2 linked regions of the Macaca fascicularis genome follow. Each later gene encodes a partner of the first gene's protein in a complex. Links are inferred from orthologs where the notes say so. Each region holds a gene or a part of one and is shown on either strand. Other genes may lie near its edges.

Region 1 (8,107 bases):
GAGAGATGCGAAGGGGTGGCTGGGGTGGACCGAATAGGGTGTGGCCAAATGGGGGTGAACGTTTGGTAGTGGGGAGACTGAGGGCGGGGGGCTGAAGCCTGGCGAGAATGTAGGGAAGAATGTGAGTCCTGGTGGGGATCTAGGTCAGAGCGGGGGGCGCTCATTCTCCTCGTCTCTCCGCCTGGCTGGCAACCACTACTACCAGGTTTGAACTGTTCCGTGGGAGGGGGTGCGCGTGTGTATAGCTTTAGGAGCCATAGCTTTCCACTCCCGAAGAGCAGCTGGGAATCAAAAGGGAAGCAATGTCTAGGAAGCAACCTGAGTGTGTGGTGGAGGCAGGTATGGGACCTCATGATCTCTAAGAACCTGAGGGCACCGTGGGGGGCCTGGTCTGTGATCTTTCACACCCACTCATCCCTTCCCAGAGCGCTGCAACTGAGTTGAGAGCCCAGAAGAAAAGGGACCACAGCCTCTATCCCCAGAGTTTAGGGTTAGGGTGGGGTCGCCATCCTAGGCTTTAAAGGAAGCACTGCCCTGAGATTAGAGTGGTCTGGGGAACCAGGCCTCTGGGATTCCTTCCTGTTGTAGCCGGCTGTGCCCTGACCTTGTGTGCCAGGCCGTTGCCCACTCCCAGCCCCCAGCATCCCCGCTTCCTGCCATAGCAGAGTTGTGGTGCCTCCCTATCCCTCACTGGCAGCTCCCACCCCCATCCCAGTCCCTCCCGGCCCCTGGCTGAGCTCAGACTTTGGCTAGCATTCCATCATGTTTATTGACTCCTGGGGGACAGATCACAAAGTCAGTTTGTGGGCAGGCCAGACTGCCCTAGAAGGAAGTCAGGGGCCTCAAGGGGTGGCGCTCTTCCTTAACTCGTAACTCTTGGAGGCAAGCTCTGAAGGTGCTTTATTTTCCACTATGATTATACCAACCATGTGGCCCGCTCCAGTTTTCAGGTTCTTCAGGGCCTTCTTGCGAACCTATTGGTGGGGGGTGCTGCCAGCCCCTCCCCGTGCCCGAAGGTGCCAGGCCCCCTGTGGGCAAGGCAGTTGTCTGTTGCATAGTCAAATAGTTGTTGTCTCCAACTTGCACCCCAGAACAGTTGTGTAAGTTAATGAGTGGTCGCCCTTTAAGAGAAATAGTGATGGTGGCAGGAGGGTTTAGCTGTCAGAAAGGCCAAGTTGGGGGTGGGTGGGGAGTATGAGGTCTCCACCCCCAGCTTGGCCTTGAGTGGAGTGGTCGCCCAAATGACTGTGTTAAGGTGTGTCCTGTGCCCTTCCCTTCAGAGTTCCTCTCCAGAACTGGCTTAGCAGAAGCTCTAGAGAGTAGCAATTGACATTTGAGACCCTGATCTTTTTTGCTGGGAAGTCCTCTGGACTGCTGAAACAATGGAACTTAGGGGGCTCACAGAGCTGATGCTGTGGAAAGTTAGAAAACTCAGGGAAAAATCCAAGCTTCGTTGTGTGACCTCAGAGGGCTCCTTTCTCAGGGGGTGTCAGTTTTCCCATTTATGAAATGAGGTTGAGTTAGATGATCTTCTCCCCTCGCCTCCAGAAAGTACCCTGAATCTAGATATAGATCTGGAGGAGGAGTCTCATGGAAGAATTGAACAGGGAAAAGAAAGAGGTGGAGAGTGGGTACCTGTTACTGGATTTGGCTCCGGGGTCCTGGAGGACCAGTTCATGCCATGTCTCTCAGCGCCCTGCAAACATCACAGAGCATCCAGTTCTGTCCTGGAGCCTGGACCGCCCAGTGCACTCCTCTCAGCCCCAAGTTTTGCCTGGCAAGGGGACAGCATTTATAGGACTCTTAGTGCATCCCCTAATCCTGCCAATGTCTCACCTGATTCCCCTGGGGTCCAGGACTTGGTGTTCCAGTTGATGTGGGGCTGGGCATCTGGTTTCTGAAAGTTGAGGTCTCTGGAGTCTGGGGAGGTTGGGCCACTGAATCTGAAGATGTCCCTGCTGTCCTGGCTTGCAGAACCTGCTCCTCTTGTGCCCTGCTCCTCTTGGTAAGGCTCGGGTATTTTTCAGGAACAGAGCTGGGAGACCCCTCTAGATTCAGTTTGTTTAGCAGCTCAGAAACCATGACATCATTACGAGAGTGTTGGTTTCCTGTGGTTCTCCTAAAGCCATCCATTTCTGTCCCTCCTTGGCCTGACTCGGGGGTAGAAAATCTCGGATTGCTGCTCCTGAGCTCAGATAGGAAATTCTTTACCTGCAGGGATGGGAGGAGTTTGCTGGGTATGACTTGGATGAGCCAGAGTAAACCCAAGGGAGTAGTCTCTTGGAACTCAGGGGTGGGCTGGGGAGGGTGAGGACAAAGGTCAAGGCATAAAAAAGCTGTGGTTAATGGTGAGTCATTGGATGGCCAGGTAGCCATGTTGTGCCATCCCTGACCAGCTCCTGGAGAGGGGTGATGTTGGCGCTCACTGTGGAGACAGCAGCATTTATATTGTTCTCCACCATCTGGAAGGCTTCATCAGTTTTTGGTAGGCATTCTAGAGGGACAGCAGAGTGGGTTGCAGGTGAGCAAATCTTCTTTTCCTGAGGAAAGCCCCATGCTGACAGACCCAAGCTTACCCCAGATCCAGCTAATTGGCCAGCTCACCCTGGAAGGAGGGTCTGTCCTTGGGCTCACTGCTCCAGCAGAGCTGCATTAGCTCCTTCAGTCCTTCTAAGCCGGGAGTCTCAGGCCCAGCTTGGGGCAGCTCAGTCAATGAGGGCCGGGTCTGCCTCCTGCACACTGCTCCACACACCAGTGATGCTTCTGTTGGCACTGGAGTAGGGGAGGAGGGTGAGAAGAGAAGGCATTCAGGGTAAAAGGGAATATCTGCTCCATCATGGAAAGAGGCAGGGAGTGTAATGTGGGAGCACAAGGATGGAGGAGGGCAGTCTTAGTAGGTGAGCAGGAAGGGGAAGCTTTGGGGCTTTCAAGAGAAGGGCACCTGGGGTTAAGGATCCCAGAATCCGCCTAGAGTCTTACACTCAGCTTCTCTTCCAGCAAGCACTGCCCACATTAGGATCCCGAAGCTGCAGGAGACACAAAGCTGAGGACCAGTCCAATCACTGGCAAGACTCCTTTCCTATACATCACCCCCTGGGAGGGCCCAGAGAAGTGTAGGAATCCCGGCTGTGTGTTTGGGCTGGGATCCTTACCTGTAGACATCACTGGCTGTGGAGGCCTTCCGGTTTACATTAACAAACAGTTCTGGGGCCAAGTAGCCCAGGGTGCCCCCTGGCTCCCTGGATGCTGTCCCTGACTGTGAGCCTCCCTGAAATGTGGACAGGCCAAAATCTGCCAGCTGCAAAGGAAGGAAAGAAGTGGGAGGTAGGGAAGACAAGGGGGCCAGGCAGCCTCCAGAAACCCCCTTGCCCCCAGAAGGTTCAGGTTCAGCTTTGTAAAGGGAGTGTGGAGGTCAAGGGAAGAGGCTCCCTTGGATAGTAGATCTAGGTGCCTGTGGTAGGGCTGGGTCAAGGTGTGAGTCTCCAGGGCTGGGTCAGCCATGACTCTTTGGAGGGGTTGGTGGGGCAGCTGGTGGAAAGGACTCGTGTGGGTCGGGGCCTCTATCACCTGGTATGGCAGGAGCTAAAACTCCTGGCTGGGCTTTGTGCCCTGGCAGCCCTGTGTCCAGAGGGAGAGGCTACGCCTATTCAATAGACAGGGCTCTGGAGGTCTGGTGTCCAGTGGGCCTGGCTGGAGCTGCTCTGGGGTGGGACCTTGTCCTGAGGCTGAGAGGGGTGTAGAGCAGCTGACCTTGACGTGCAGCTCTGGGTCCAGCAGGACATTGGATGGCTTGAGGTCCCGGTGCAGGAGCACCGGGTTCTGGTTGTGCAGGTAAAACATCCCAAGCACCACTTCTTTCAGCAGGCGGCAAAGCAGCGGCCAGGGCCTAGGGCACTCGGGCTGCAGCAGCCGGGACAGGGAGCCGTTCTCCATGAATTTAGTCACCAGAGCCGGCTTGGGCACGTGGTCCCAGTTCACCTTCTCGATGACCCCTTCTAGGCGCAGCACGAATTCGTTATCCAGACTTGCCATGGCCTTGACCTCCCTGGATATCGCCTTCCTACACTCCAGGAGAGAGCTGGAGTCACCCGGGGTCGTGGGAAAAATCCCTCCATTCCCCATTCAGGCCCCAGAGCACAGTGGCTCCACCTTTTTGGCCAGATTGCGGCCGGGGGGGCAACAGGGGTCACTCACGAGTTTACAATCTTGACCGCCACGTCGTAGCCCCACTTCCTATATCGCGCCCGGAACACTGTGCCGAACCCGCCTCTGCCGACGAACTCCTGGTTTTCCAGTTCCTCGATGGACACCAAGGAGGCGGAGGCACCACTGGGCCTGAGACAGGGGTGTCGCCCACTAGCCGGCAGTGCCCTACGCCAGCGCTGCTCCCCGCGCCCCTGTGACTCGGCGCTCTTACTGCAATCCCCGGCCTCTCTCGCCGGCCCCCACCGTCTCCAGACTCAAAGGCGTTCTCTGAGCGAGTCCGTGGGGCGCTCTGGGTGTGAATGTCGGAGGCTGCGATCGACATGCCTCTCCCTACTCACCATAACTTGACGCACGACATCAGGCTGGAAGGTGCGAGGGGGCCTCTGGAAATTGCGAGCAGTAGGAGATGGAATGACTTCTGGGGCTGCGGTCTTTGGCAGAGAGGGGAAGGGATCTGTCTCTGCAGGGATCAGTCTCTAGACCAGGACGGTGACTCCACTTTCCGGGTTGCTACCCGTATTCTGAGTTGACTGAACAACTTCCCTTACAGGCGCCTCTACAGTCCCGCCCCTGGGGTGGGGCAGGGGGCAAAGCGAAAGCTAGTGTCTTTCTCCCTGACTAGCGTTTCCTGAGTGCCTGCCGCATGCAGCGGCCAGGTTAGGTGTGGCTGGGCATTGAGGATGTTAGGGAATGGGTCCTCACCTTCCAGGAACCCACAATCAACCCACTCCTACAGTCAAAGCCTTCTCTTTTCCCACAGGATTTCCTGCTCCACCACCTGCCAGGCCATGAGTGGAGATGGTGCTTAGGCAGGTTTTATGGTTTTAGGGCTCAGCTCTCTCATAGCTGCCCTAAGATCATAGCCAATGCATATATAAAACTTATCATGCACCAGGTACATAGATTAGCTTATTTAATTCTCACACGAACCCTAAGGGGATAGGTACTGCTTTTATTACCTTTCTATAGATGAGGAAACTGAGACACTGAGAGTTTAAGTACCTTGCCTAAGCCCATATGGAAATAATGGCTCTGAACCATCAAGTTATCCTGTTTTCACATCATAGGTTTCAGGGCTGTTTTCACATAGGTTTCACCTGTTTTCACATAGGTTGCAGGACCACTCAGCTGGTCCTGCAGGAGGCTGGGAAAGTTGTGAAGCATCCAACGATGTAGTGAAGGATCCCTATTTGTATTCCTTGGGACTTATATGTTCATAGGGACTTATATGCCCTATGAACAGGAGCTCCTTGAGCTGGCAGACCCCAAACCCACTCCAAGGGCATTGTGGTAAGGCTAGATATACCAGCCCATCCAGCGAGTTGGTGACATTGTGGTGTACACTGCAGTGGAAACAATTCAGAGCTTTCCTGCCCTCTCTCTTGCATGACAATTCTTGCATGCAAATACCCTAATTAATGTTCCTGACAAGCACATGCTCTGGACACAGGCTTTTGATAACCCAGAAGCATGGAGAGTCTTAAAGATTTAGGGCAGAAAAAAGGTGTCCATATTTTACCTTTTGGAGGTCTGACCATGACTGGAGGTTGTGGGAACCCGATAGGGCCAGCCCTAGGCACTCAGTCCTTCACAGGGATACTCAACCCTGTGGGTTGTGTGTTGGCTTTCACTAAAAGGGGCTCACCTTGGTACTTGCTTTCCATTTTGTTCAGCGGTCCATGGGCTCTTCTGGTTGAGGCAGAAGTGATCAGCAGTTTTTTCTAGAACAACTCCTGGAGAGCTACACCATGGCTTCTGGTAGGGTCAGCTCATGCTATTTTGGAGCTATTTAGGGAATTGTTCAACTGTAGTCTCTTTAAAAGCCAATACATGGCAGATACCCAATAAATATTTGTTGAATTGAATGAATAAATGAACAACCAAAAATATTAAGCCTCTTTTAAGGCACTGATCATCCTAGATGGAGCTCCATACTCAGTAGGAGGAAAGAGGAGATCGGGTTCCTATAGGGACTGAGGGCTCTCACCTGCACAGTTCATGAAATCCGTCTGAAGTAGGCTTTAGTATAGAGATATGGTGGTATCACACAGAATCCAAGAAGGCAAGAAGTGTAGCAGGTCCTCAGAAAAGCCTAGAGTCAGAAGCTGAGAACCATCAAAAGGGGTAGCCACTCCCTTTGTGATTCTTTTTGGAGAGAATAACCCAGGCTCAGTATCTCCACTTGAAGGAAGCAGGCAAAAAGGAGTTGGAAAGGTGTTATAACCGGGTTTCTTCAGATTGGTATGAGACCCTGAGAATCAGGGATAAACTACTGTGAAGCACAAAGTTGGGTGTGGTATCAGGGCCTATACAACTTTTTGACTCAAAATAAACAGCCCCTTTAAAAGAAGGAAGAGCAGGGAGAAGAACCTTAGAGTAAGTGCCTAACAGGACCCTCAGCTTCCAGCAAGGGGGTGTGGGGGTGGACCTAGGCACAGGTTGATTCTTGGAATTTGGAAACTCAGAGTTTGGAATAATCAGATAAAGAAACTAAAGAAGCTATTGTAAAATGTTTAAAGAAATAAAAAATAGAGTAGAGAAATAAAAGAGCAAGGCATTAGAGATCATAAACAATGTCCAGATATATTTACAAAAAATAAAACATCAAGAAATGAAAAATGTATGTAACCATTAAAATTGAAATTGTAGATTTTGGTTAAACAGAAGATATAGCTGAAGAACGAATTAGTGTACTGAAAGATGAATCTGCAGACATTCTCCAGAATGCAGCAAAGATGAGCAAATAGAAAAGTTAAGAGACAAAGAATGAGTAGGTCTAACATGTTAAATTGGAATCCCATGAGAAGAGAAGCGAAAAATTAAAAATGGGGCAAGGCAATATTTAAGGAAAAAATGACTGACAATTTTCAATAACTGATGAAAGACAAGGATCCATCTGGGCACAGTGGCTGACACCTGTAATTCCAGTGCTTTGGGAGGCCACGGTGGGAGGATAACTGGAGGACAGGAGTTCAAGACCAGCTTGAGCAACATAGTGAGACCCCATCTCTACAACATAAAAATTAAAATAAAAGGTTGCCAGTTCTGGTAATCTTAGCTACTTGGGAGGCTGAGCTGGGTTAGGGTTAGGGTTAGGGTTAGGGTTAGGGTTAGGGTTAGGGTTAGAGCTTGAGCTCAGGAGTTGGAGGTTATGGTAAGTTATGATTGCACCATTGCACTCCAGTCTGGGCAACAGAGCAAGACCCTGTTTCTAAATAAATAAATGAGCAAATATAAAAAGTCAAATATACACAAATATAGTTGTGCCAAAAAGGATAAATATAAAGAAATTCACTCTAGTTATACCTCAGTGAAACTGCAGAACAGTGAACACAAATAAACAACATTAAAGGTTAAAAAGAAAGCATAGATCATCTACAAAGCAGCAGTAACTAAACTGGAAATACACTTCTCAACAGCCAAGTAAAAACCAGAAGACGTTGAAATAATTTAAGGTGCTCAAAGACAGGAAAAGTGTTCCTGAAAAAGATAACTTTGGTGTGTATACAATTTTATATTTACAGACAGGTAAAAAAAGAAAAAAAGACATTTTCAAATAAATGAAAACTGAGTTTACTACGAACAGTCACTTTCCTAAAGAAGTTTCTAATGGATGTGCACAAAGAAGATTAAAAAAAAAATTATCCCAGAATGAACGCATGAGACACAGGAAGAAACAGCAATTTCCCAGTAAGTTTAACCATGAAACTAATTAACATCATGTCAGACCCTTAGAAATGAGAGACAGTGGCTCACTAATTTTTCTTTTCTTTTCTTTTCTTTTTTTTTTTTGAGATGGAGTTTCGCTCTTGTTGCCCAGGCTGGAGTGCAACGGCGCAGTCTCGGCTCTCTGCAACCTCTGCCTCCCGGGTTCAAGCCAATCTCCTGTCTCAGCCTCCCG
Region 2 (8,007 bases), on another chromosome or scaffold:
TGTCAGATGGTGGTCAGTAACACGTGTGGGAAAAAATAATGCGGTGAAGAGGTAGAGAACATGCTGGTCAGAGAGGCCCCACAGATAAGGTGCTATTTGAGCTGACAGCTGGCAAAAGTGTAGAAACAAGCCTTGCAGCAGAAAGTGAAGGAGGTCCTGCAGCTCTGGGCTGATTACGTGGGCATGGTTAGGTGCTCTTCCTCTGCTCCCATCGCATCTTGAGCATGCTTTAATTATAACACTTATCATTATGTCCTATTGTGATTATTAAATTACATGTCTGTTTCCATGACTTGGCAGAGCTGCTGAACATCTGGAACTTTGTCTTACTAACTTTTATATTCTCAGAATCTAATACATCGTATTAGATGTTCAGTGCATAATTGTTAATTCAATGAATAAAAAAGGAAAACCTCAAGTAAATTGCAGACTAGAATCAAGCCCTCAAGCTCTGAGTTTAGGGTTAGGAGCCTGGTTAGGAAGAAAGACTGTATATATGCTTTTGAGGCAAGCAGTCAGTGAGGGAATGAGGCACGATTACTTGCATGTGGCTACAAGCAATAAAAATGGGGTCAAAATGGTTAGCAGAGGGACTGCCCCACTAGTAGACAGGAACTGTTACAACAGGCTATGACAACGAAAACAGATTGCAAACTTCCTACTTAGGCACAGATGAGAATGTAACACAGAAGAAACCGGCTGCAACTGGTTAAAGCCAAGATGGTCGAAAACTTGGCTGACTGCTGACCCTTAGCTTCATTGTGCCTTAATATCATAAAACTTCCATGGGGGAATTCCCACTCCCATCATGCACCTGACGCCATGACAGTTCTGGATTAACCATCTTTAGTCAAGAAAAGGGTGGCACCCCGATTCTGGGAATTGCCCGCCCATTTCCCAGAAAAGCCTTCCTCTTTATCATAGAGTACCCCATACCTTCATTGTGCTTATTCATGTAGTACATGAACCACATTGCCTGTGACTCAATCTTTGAGTGCCTGCACTCGTCCCTTGAGGGTATCCTTGCTTTTGCTCCACAATAGAATGTCTGTACTTTCACTTTGGTCTCATTTCCAGATTCTCTTATGCTTTGAAGACAAGAAGCTGCACTGGCATACTGGCAATGCTTGTAGATACCCTCTGAGATCAGTGTGCTTGTTTATACCAGAAAAAATGTCATCACCAGGCCCCTTAGTCACAAAGCGTATCACTAAGTCATCTTCGGTCATTTTTTACAGTTTCCTAGCCACTTTCTGTTTCCAATCAGTGTAACTATGTGGCATGACTCAGATACAAGTTTCTATAGAAATTTTCTTCTGTGGCTGCTAGTGAGAACCCAAACCAGCTCAGCCAATGAGAGCTCCAGTTGTCACTCCTACCCACACTGGGCCTGCGGGTGACGGGAAGTGTTTATTAGGGGTACGTGTGAAGCTGTTCAGAAGTGTCAGAGTCTTTGTAGCTTTGAAAGTCACGTAGGTTATTTGGGCATGCTCTCCTGAGCCCTCTGTTAGTTAAGCTCTCTGAAGAGAAGGTGGCAGACCCGGTTTGCTGATCGCCCCAGGGATCAGGAGGTAAGCACCATGGAGGAGCTGGGTTAGAGAGGAGAGACTGAACCGTTTCTCCGCCGAAAAAGACAACTGAGGAAATGCCAGCCATGCTATGCACCCCTCTGAGAACTTGAACCTGGGAAAATGGACATGAGCTCTGAAAGGATGGGTTCATTTATCTTTTACTCACTTTAGCCATGTCCTCTGGTGTCTCTGAGCTGGTGTTCCTTAAGCTTCAGATTCCATTGGGGTTTATCTATCAGCCTGTTTGTAAGACTAACTTTTATGCCAATAGCAAATACAAGCATTTTTTAAGTTAACAGATATTATGAAGTAAAATGCAAGTTTTTCATTTATAAGACAACATAACTTCAGAGAAAATGATGAGTCAATCTTATTAAAATGTGATTAAAATGTGATTGTTATTATATAAGAGGCTTATAGGAAGATTAGTTTCTTATAGACAAGTAGGAAAGCAGGAATCATGCCAAGCTGATTGTAGATATTCAGCAAAGGTAGTGTCCTTCCTTGCTTTCATCAGTAGGACGGGGGCATTTGGATGGCTTTATCATTACAAATATTTTTAATGTTATTTCTTATTTTGAAAATGGTCCTGATAATAGTTTTAATTTTCACTCATGAACTCTACATGTATAAGTAGAGTTTGTCCAGCCCTTACCAGCATATAAGGAAAAACATTATGAGGCCATTAACAGTGATAGTTTAGAATTTATTAACATTGACTCTACTGATGGTGGTATTCAAGCTTCCCTAAAATTCACAATCAGTTATTTTCAGCTCATAGACATCTTTTCCTGTTCTTCGGCTTATTTCTTCCACTTTATATGTTGCTGCTCTGGAAGTCATTAATTGCTAATAATGTCAAACATCTTTTTTATGTTTATTGGATACTTGAGCAAATTGCTCATTCACATCTTTTGCACACTTTTCAAATAGACTGTTTATTGTTTTCTTAGTGATACATGGTTCTCCATGTATTCCAAAAGCAAAACTTCTATTAGCTATATATATATATATGTATATTTCAGGTATCTGCCCAGTTTTTGCCTTATATAAACACTTTGTTTAGTGTGTGTGTGTGTGCACGTGTGTGTGTGTTTCCTACAAAGAAATTAAGAATATGCATGCAATCACATTTGACAAAGTTTGTTTTTTTTTCTGGCTTGTCCTTTTTGTGCCTTGTTTAAGAAACCTCCTTCTACTTCAATGTATTGAGAAATTCTGTGTTTTATTCAACATCATTACTCTTCTGTTTAGATAATTAATCCAGCCAGATATATATTTGTGTATGATATAAGAGAAAGGCCAAATATATCATTCCCCGAATATTATCTTTTGCCTGAATACTTTTTATAGTTGGCCATTCTTTCCTTGTGATTTTTAACGCCAGTTTGATTATGTACCATGCTTTAACTTACATGTGGTCCTGTTTCCACACTCTATTTATTAGTTCATTTTTCTCTATGCCACTGCCATATCGATTTAATTATTATACATTTGTAGTAAGTATTGATACCTAGTAGTAGGGATACTACATCCTAATAAACAATTCAACATGTTTTGCAGGTTTTTGTCTTTATTTTTTTCATTTAGGTTTTAAGATCATTCTGATAAGTTCTATGAAAAACCCTTTGAGATTTTGGATGGGAGTTTATAGATTAATTTGACAACATTGCTGTCTTCATTTTATCAAGTTTTCCCATTTAAAATATCACACATACACCCACTTAAGTAGGTCTTTTAAATCTCCCAATGAAGTTTTATAAGGTTCCCTTTAAAACTCTTAAATATATTGTATTAGATGTTCTTATGTACTTTGTAGTTTTGTTGCTATTGGAAATTACTTTTTTACGTGATTTTTTTCACTCTTGGAGTGGTGCTAGAATAAAGGAATGCATTTCTGCATATTAATCTTATAGTTATAAACTTTTGAATGATTATTTATAATGTTTTGTGTATTATTTTGGATACTATACATAAACAACTATATTACTACAATGTGATTTTGGCAACAAGATACAAAAATAGGTTGATGGACAGAATAAAGAATCCAGAAATAGACTCACTCATATTTGGACAACTGATTTTTGCAAAGGTAAAAAAAATCGTTAAAAAGGATAGTCTTCTTAATATACGGTTCTGGGAAATTTCATATTCATATGAAAAATAAATGAACTTTGAGTCATTGCTTATACTATATACAAAATAACTCAAAACGGTACATACACCCAAATAAAATGATTAAACCATAATATTTTTAGAGGAAAACATAAAATCTTCTCATCTTGAGATTGGAAAAGATTTCTTAAATAAGACAGTGAAAGCATGATCCATGAAAGAACAAATTGATTAATTGCACTTCATCAGGTATATGTATATGCGAAAATTTATCAGATTGTATACTTCCAATATATGCACTGTGTTGTATGCCAGTTATGCCTCGATAAATCTATTTTAAAAATAAAAGGAAAATGTATCCTGTTTCCTTTTTGTTGTAGTGTTTTGTTTGTTTGTTTGTTTTGAGACAAAGTTTTGCTCTTGTCGCCCAAGCTGGAGTGCAATGGCGCGATCTTGGCTCACTGTGACCTCCGCCTCCTGGTTCAAGTGATTCTCCTGCCTCAGCCTCCTGAGTAGCTGGGATTACAGGCCCCCACCACCACGCCCAGCTAATTTTTGTATTTTTAGTAGAGGTGGGGTTTTGCCATATTGGCCAGGCTGGTCTCAAACTCCTGACCTCAGGTGATCCGCCCGCTTTGGCCTTCCAAAGTGCTGGGATTACAGGCGTGAGCTACCATGCCCAGCTGATGTATCCTGTTTTCTAAGAATTCCAGAGGTGTTGTATACTTTCTGAAGATGTCTTTCCCAGGAATAGGGATCACCTTGCTTAAGAAGTTCTTACCTATGTCCCATTCAAATCTCTTTTACTACTGCAAACATTTTGTTTATTTTTCTTTAAAAATATTAATAGCTCACCTTGCTTTATTTTGAATGTAGAATCCCTTTTGGTGTTGTAATCTTACATGCTTTGGATTCCTTATAGGTTGATCCCAAAGTCGTCAGATGGAGAGTAAATACAAGGAGATACTCTTGCTAACGGGCCTGGATAACATCACTGATGAGGAACTGGATAGGTTTAAGTTCTTTCTTTCAGACGAGTTTAATATCGCCACAGGCATACTACGTACCGCAAACAGAATACAAGTAGCTAACTTGATGATTCAAAATGCTGGTGCAGTGACTGCAGTGAAGAAGACCATTCTTATTTTTCAGAAGTTGAATTATATGCTTTTGGTAAAACGTCTTAAGGAAGAGAAGGAGAAAGGTAATGTGGTAGTCCCGCACCTGCCCAGTCCCTTTCTCTGCCAAGCCTGGGCCTTTCCTTTCATGGCGTCCCTGGGATATGACCCCCAGTGCACACTGTTGGAATTTGTTTGCTAACTTAGTGCACCTGTCTCTTTGCCCCCTTTTACTGAGAATCACTTGTAGGAAGTGTTTGTTACAAATTCCACAAATCCATTCCAGCCTTGGTTTGCATCTCTTGTTCCAGCCTTTAGGGTGACCACTTCCATTTATCATCTTTTCTCCTTGCCCATCTTTGTCTCCAGTTCAATTACAGTGAATATGGATGTAGAATTTCAAAGTTAACTTTTCCCAACTCCATTTCCACAGTATGTAATGCTCTCACATTCTACTGAAGTCTCAAAAATATAAATTATTGCATTGGAAAATTGTAAACCAGGATATTGAGCACCTTTTTTTCCTTCACACAGTCTGTTTATTTCTCTCCATGTCCCTATCTTTCTATGGTCCCAGACTATGCTGCTTTCTTTAGGGAATGATCTCCTCCTTCTTCAGGGAGGGAGAATCCTCCTTCAGGGATTCTCTCTCCTCTCTATCTCCAGTGACAGTATAAATTACCCACAGCAAAAAGACTTTTTTAACATCATTCAATAAATCACTCATCATCTCCATCTGAATTATATACATTTAGTTTAAATTCCTGATTTTGTTTACTAAGAACAATTGATACGTCCCGGCTTTATGTCTGAAGAACAAAAAAGAGCTAACAAAGGAGCATATCACTCCAGGACTGTCCCAAATGAGAGTCTCCAAATGCAACAGTTTTAGGATTCAAAGTAAAACCGTAACAGCAAAGATTACAACAGCTTTTAATAGCATTTGTGGGTGTACAACACGGTGACATGGCTTCTCACACATGGTTTATAAGAAGGTTAAATGAAGCCACATAAGTGATACTATGTAGGTCCATAATTCTATACAGATGTAAACTGTGAGGTAGTTTCTAAGGCACTAATGAGAAAGGAGTGGTTGTTTTCCCAGGCTTTAAGTTAGAAGGTGTAGTTCTTTAAGATGGCCCTTAGATGGCAGTAACTACCCATGTTACTTCCATGTAACCAGCTGCCCTGTGTTTCTTATCTGGGATGAGACAGGAATCTATTGGCAAACATAGGCTGAGATATTTAGAAATATCTTCTATTTTGGCAATAAATCAAGAATTAATTCTTCTCTTTGACCAGGATAGCACAAAATTTCCCCTTCTACAATCTTCTCCCCATTTTGCTGTTCTAATGATTCTGGGATTTTGTTATTCTACTTAGCTAAAAAAGATCCAGTTTGGGACTAACTTGGAGACTCAGGAGTAGATCATCCAGAGGCTGTCCCAAATGAGAGTCTCCAAATGTAACAGTTGTAGAATTCAAAGTATGCTTTTGGGCCAGGTGCAGTGGCTCACACCTTTAATCCCAGCACTTTGGGAGGCCAAGGCAGGTGGATCACTTGAGGTCAAGAGTTCGAGATCCGCCTGGTCAACATGGTGAAACTTTGTCTCTACTACAAATACAAAAATTAGCCAGGCATGGTGGCAGGCGTCTGTAATGCCAGCTACTCAGGAGGCTGAGGCACGAGAATCAACTTGAACCCGGGAGGCAGAGGTTGCAGTAAGCTGAGATCATGCCTCTGCACCCCTGCCTGGGCAACAATAGTGAGACCCTGTCTCAAACAACAACAACAACAACAACAACAACAACAACAAAACACAAAGTATGCTTCCTGCATGCTCTACAAGAAGGCAACTGAGTTCCTTCATCGCTCTCAAATTCCATCCGTGGACATACTTAGGCCTCTTTTGAATGTAGGAAATTTTTGTGTGTCCATGCTATTTCTATTATTGTATGAAAAGCTTTTGTTTCATTTTTTTTGAACAGTTACTATCATTCTTGTTTAAGTGATCCTTCTCTGTTGCCATGGCATGTCTGCATGTAGAGTGCTATATGCTCTTCTACTCACAACCTCACCCCATGGAAGGTAGAAGATACCTGGAGAATCTTTAATGAAGACAGAGGCAATAATTAGTAGAGAGGAGAAGCTTTTGTATGAAGCAAGATGAGAAAATACAAGGACTCATAAGCATAGAAAAAGGAAGCGAAGAGAAAATGTGATCACAGTCTACAGAAGTCCTGCAAGATTAAAATAAAATGCTGAAAATGATAAATGAGATAATCAGTAACAATGTCCACCTGATTATTAAGGCAAATGAGAGATTTATAGTGGGCAGACAAGCTTGTCCACAAATATTGGTACCACGGTGTGTGAGATGAAGTATGGCTGATGTGATGTGGTAGAACGGTAGGTTGATTCCCTTGGCCTCCTTGATGCTGTTTTCTCGCCGATGCTGTGAACATAGAAGAGACTTTATCTGCATACCTTTCTGAAACCAGTTGCATGGAACTAACTTATCATTAGAAGGTTAGTGTAACTTCTTTCTAGAGCAGAGATCCTGCTACAATATCCCTGTCAGACAGTCAACCACTTTCTGATCTTTGAAAGGTAATGACAGAGTACCTACTGCCTCATAAAACAGTATCGTTTCTGTTTTTAGTAAAATCAAAGTGATTGCCTTGCTATTTCAGCCCAGAGTTGTTCAAATTCTATCAGAAATGACATCTAATAATTTCTCAGGCCCTCTTCTGCCTGAGAGTGCCTTAAGTCATTAAACACGACCATCTTGTTACATGGTCTTTTTAAAAATCAGGACTAGGAGTTGGCTTTTCACAATAACATATAACCTGACCATAGATGTGGAGGAGCCCAGCCAAAGTATACAACTGCATTTTGTAGGCATTAGTGAGGAGCCAACATGCCACCCATCCATCCATTTCTTCATCCATTCAGTAAATATCTATTGAATTGCTAATAGGTACAAGGAAAGCTTTTAGGTTCTTATGATAAAACAAGGTGTTAAAAACAAATCCAAATTTTATACAGCTTCTATTCTAAAGGGAAAGTAGATATTTTTCTTACAGGAAAATTTATGAATGTAATTAATTGAGACAAATGCTCTAATGGAAAGGAAGATGGTTCTTCAGCAGCATGTGTCAAAGGAGCATTAACATAAGCCACGAATTAGAGTTGGTGTTGG

The links. Proteins that work in one complex are often made in the same cells at the same time.
Region 2: RIPK3 (region 1) and AIM2 share a complex: the UniProt entries of both Homo sapiens proteins name them as parts of the AIM2 PANoptosome complex. The link is inferred for Macaca fascicularis from reciprocal best matches to the Homo sapiens genes RIPK3 and AIM2.

What each region holds. Positions count from the first base shown.
Region 1 is NC_088381.1:92,151,764-92,159,870, forward strand, and holds RIPK3 (receptor-interacting serine/threonine-protein kinase 3), read right to left. Parts: upstream 4,730-8,107; 5' UTR 4,565-4,729; coding exon 4,545-4,564; intron 4,336-4,544; coding exon 4,195-4,335; intron 4,061-4,194; coding exon 3,751-4,060; intron 3,299-3,750; coding exon 3,153-3,298; intron 3,027-3,152; coding exon 2,980-3,026; exon of another isoform or gene 2,942-2,979; intron 2,773-2,941; coding exon 2,605-2,772; intron 2,495-2,604; coding exon 2,427-2,494; intron 2,212-2,426; coding exon 1,837-2,211; intron 1,697-1,836; coding exon 1,636-1,696; intron 1,122-1,635; coding exon 901-1,121; 3' UTR 751-900; downstream 1-750. Other genes in the region: ADCY4 (adenylate cyclase type 4), read right to left, coding at 1-164. UniProt on the Homo sapiens protein: Serine/threonine-protein kinase that activates necroptosis and apoptosis, two parallel forms of cell death. Necroptosis, a programmed cell death process in response to death-inducing TNF-alpha family members, is triggered by RIPK3 following activation by ZBP1.
Region 2 is NC_088375.1:102,009,398-102,017,404, forward strand, and holds part of AIM2 (interferon-inducible protein AIM2), read left to right. Parts: intron 1-1,437; exon of another isoform or gene 1,438-1,571; intron 1,572-4,606; exon of another isoform or gene 4,607-4,608; 5' UTR 4,609-4,628; coding exon 4,629-4,890; exon of another isoform or gene 4,891-8,007. UniProt on the Homo sapiens protein: Sensor component of the AIM2 inflammasome, which mediates inflammasome activation in response to the presence of double-stranded DNA (dsDNA) in the cytosol, leading to subsequent pyroptosis.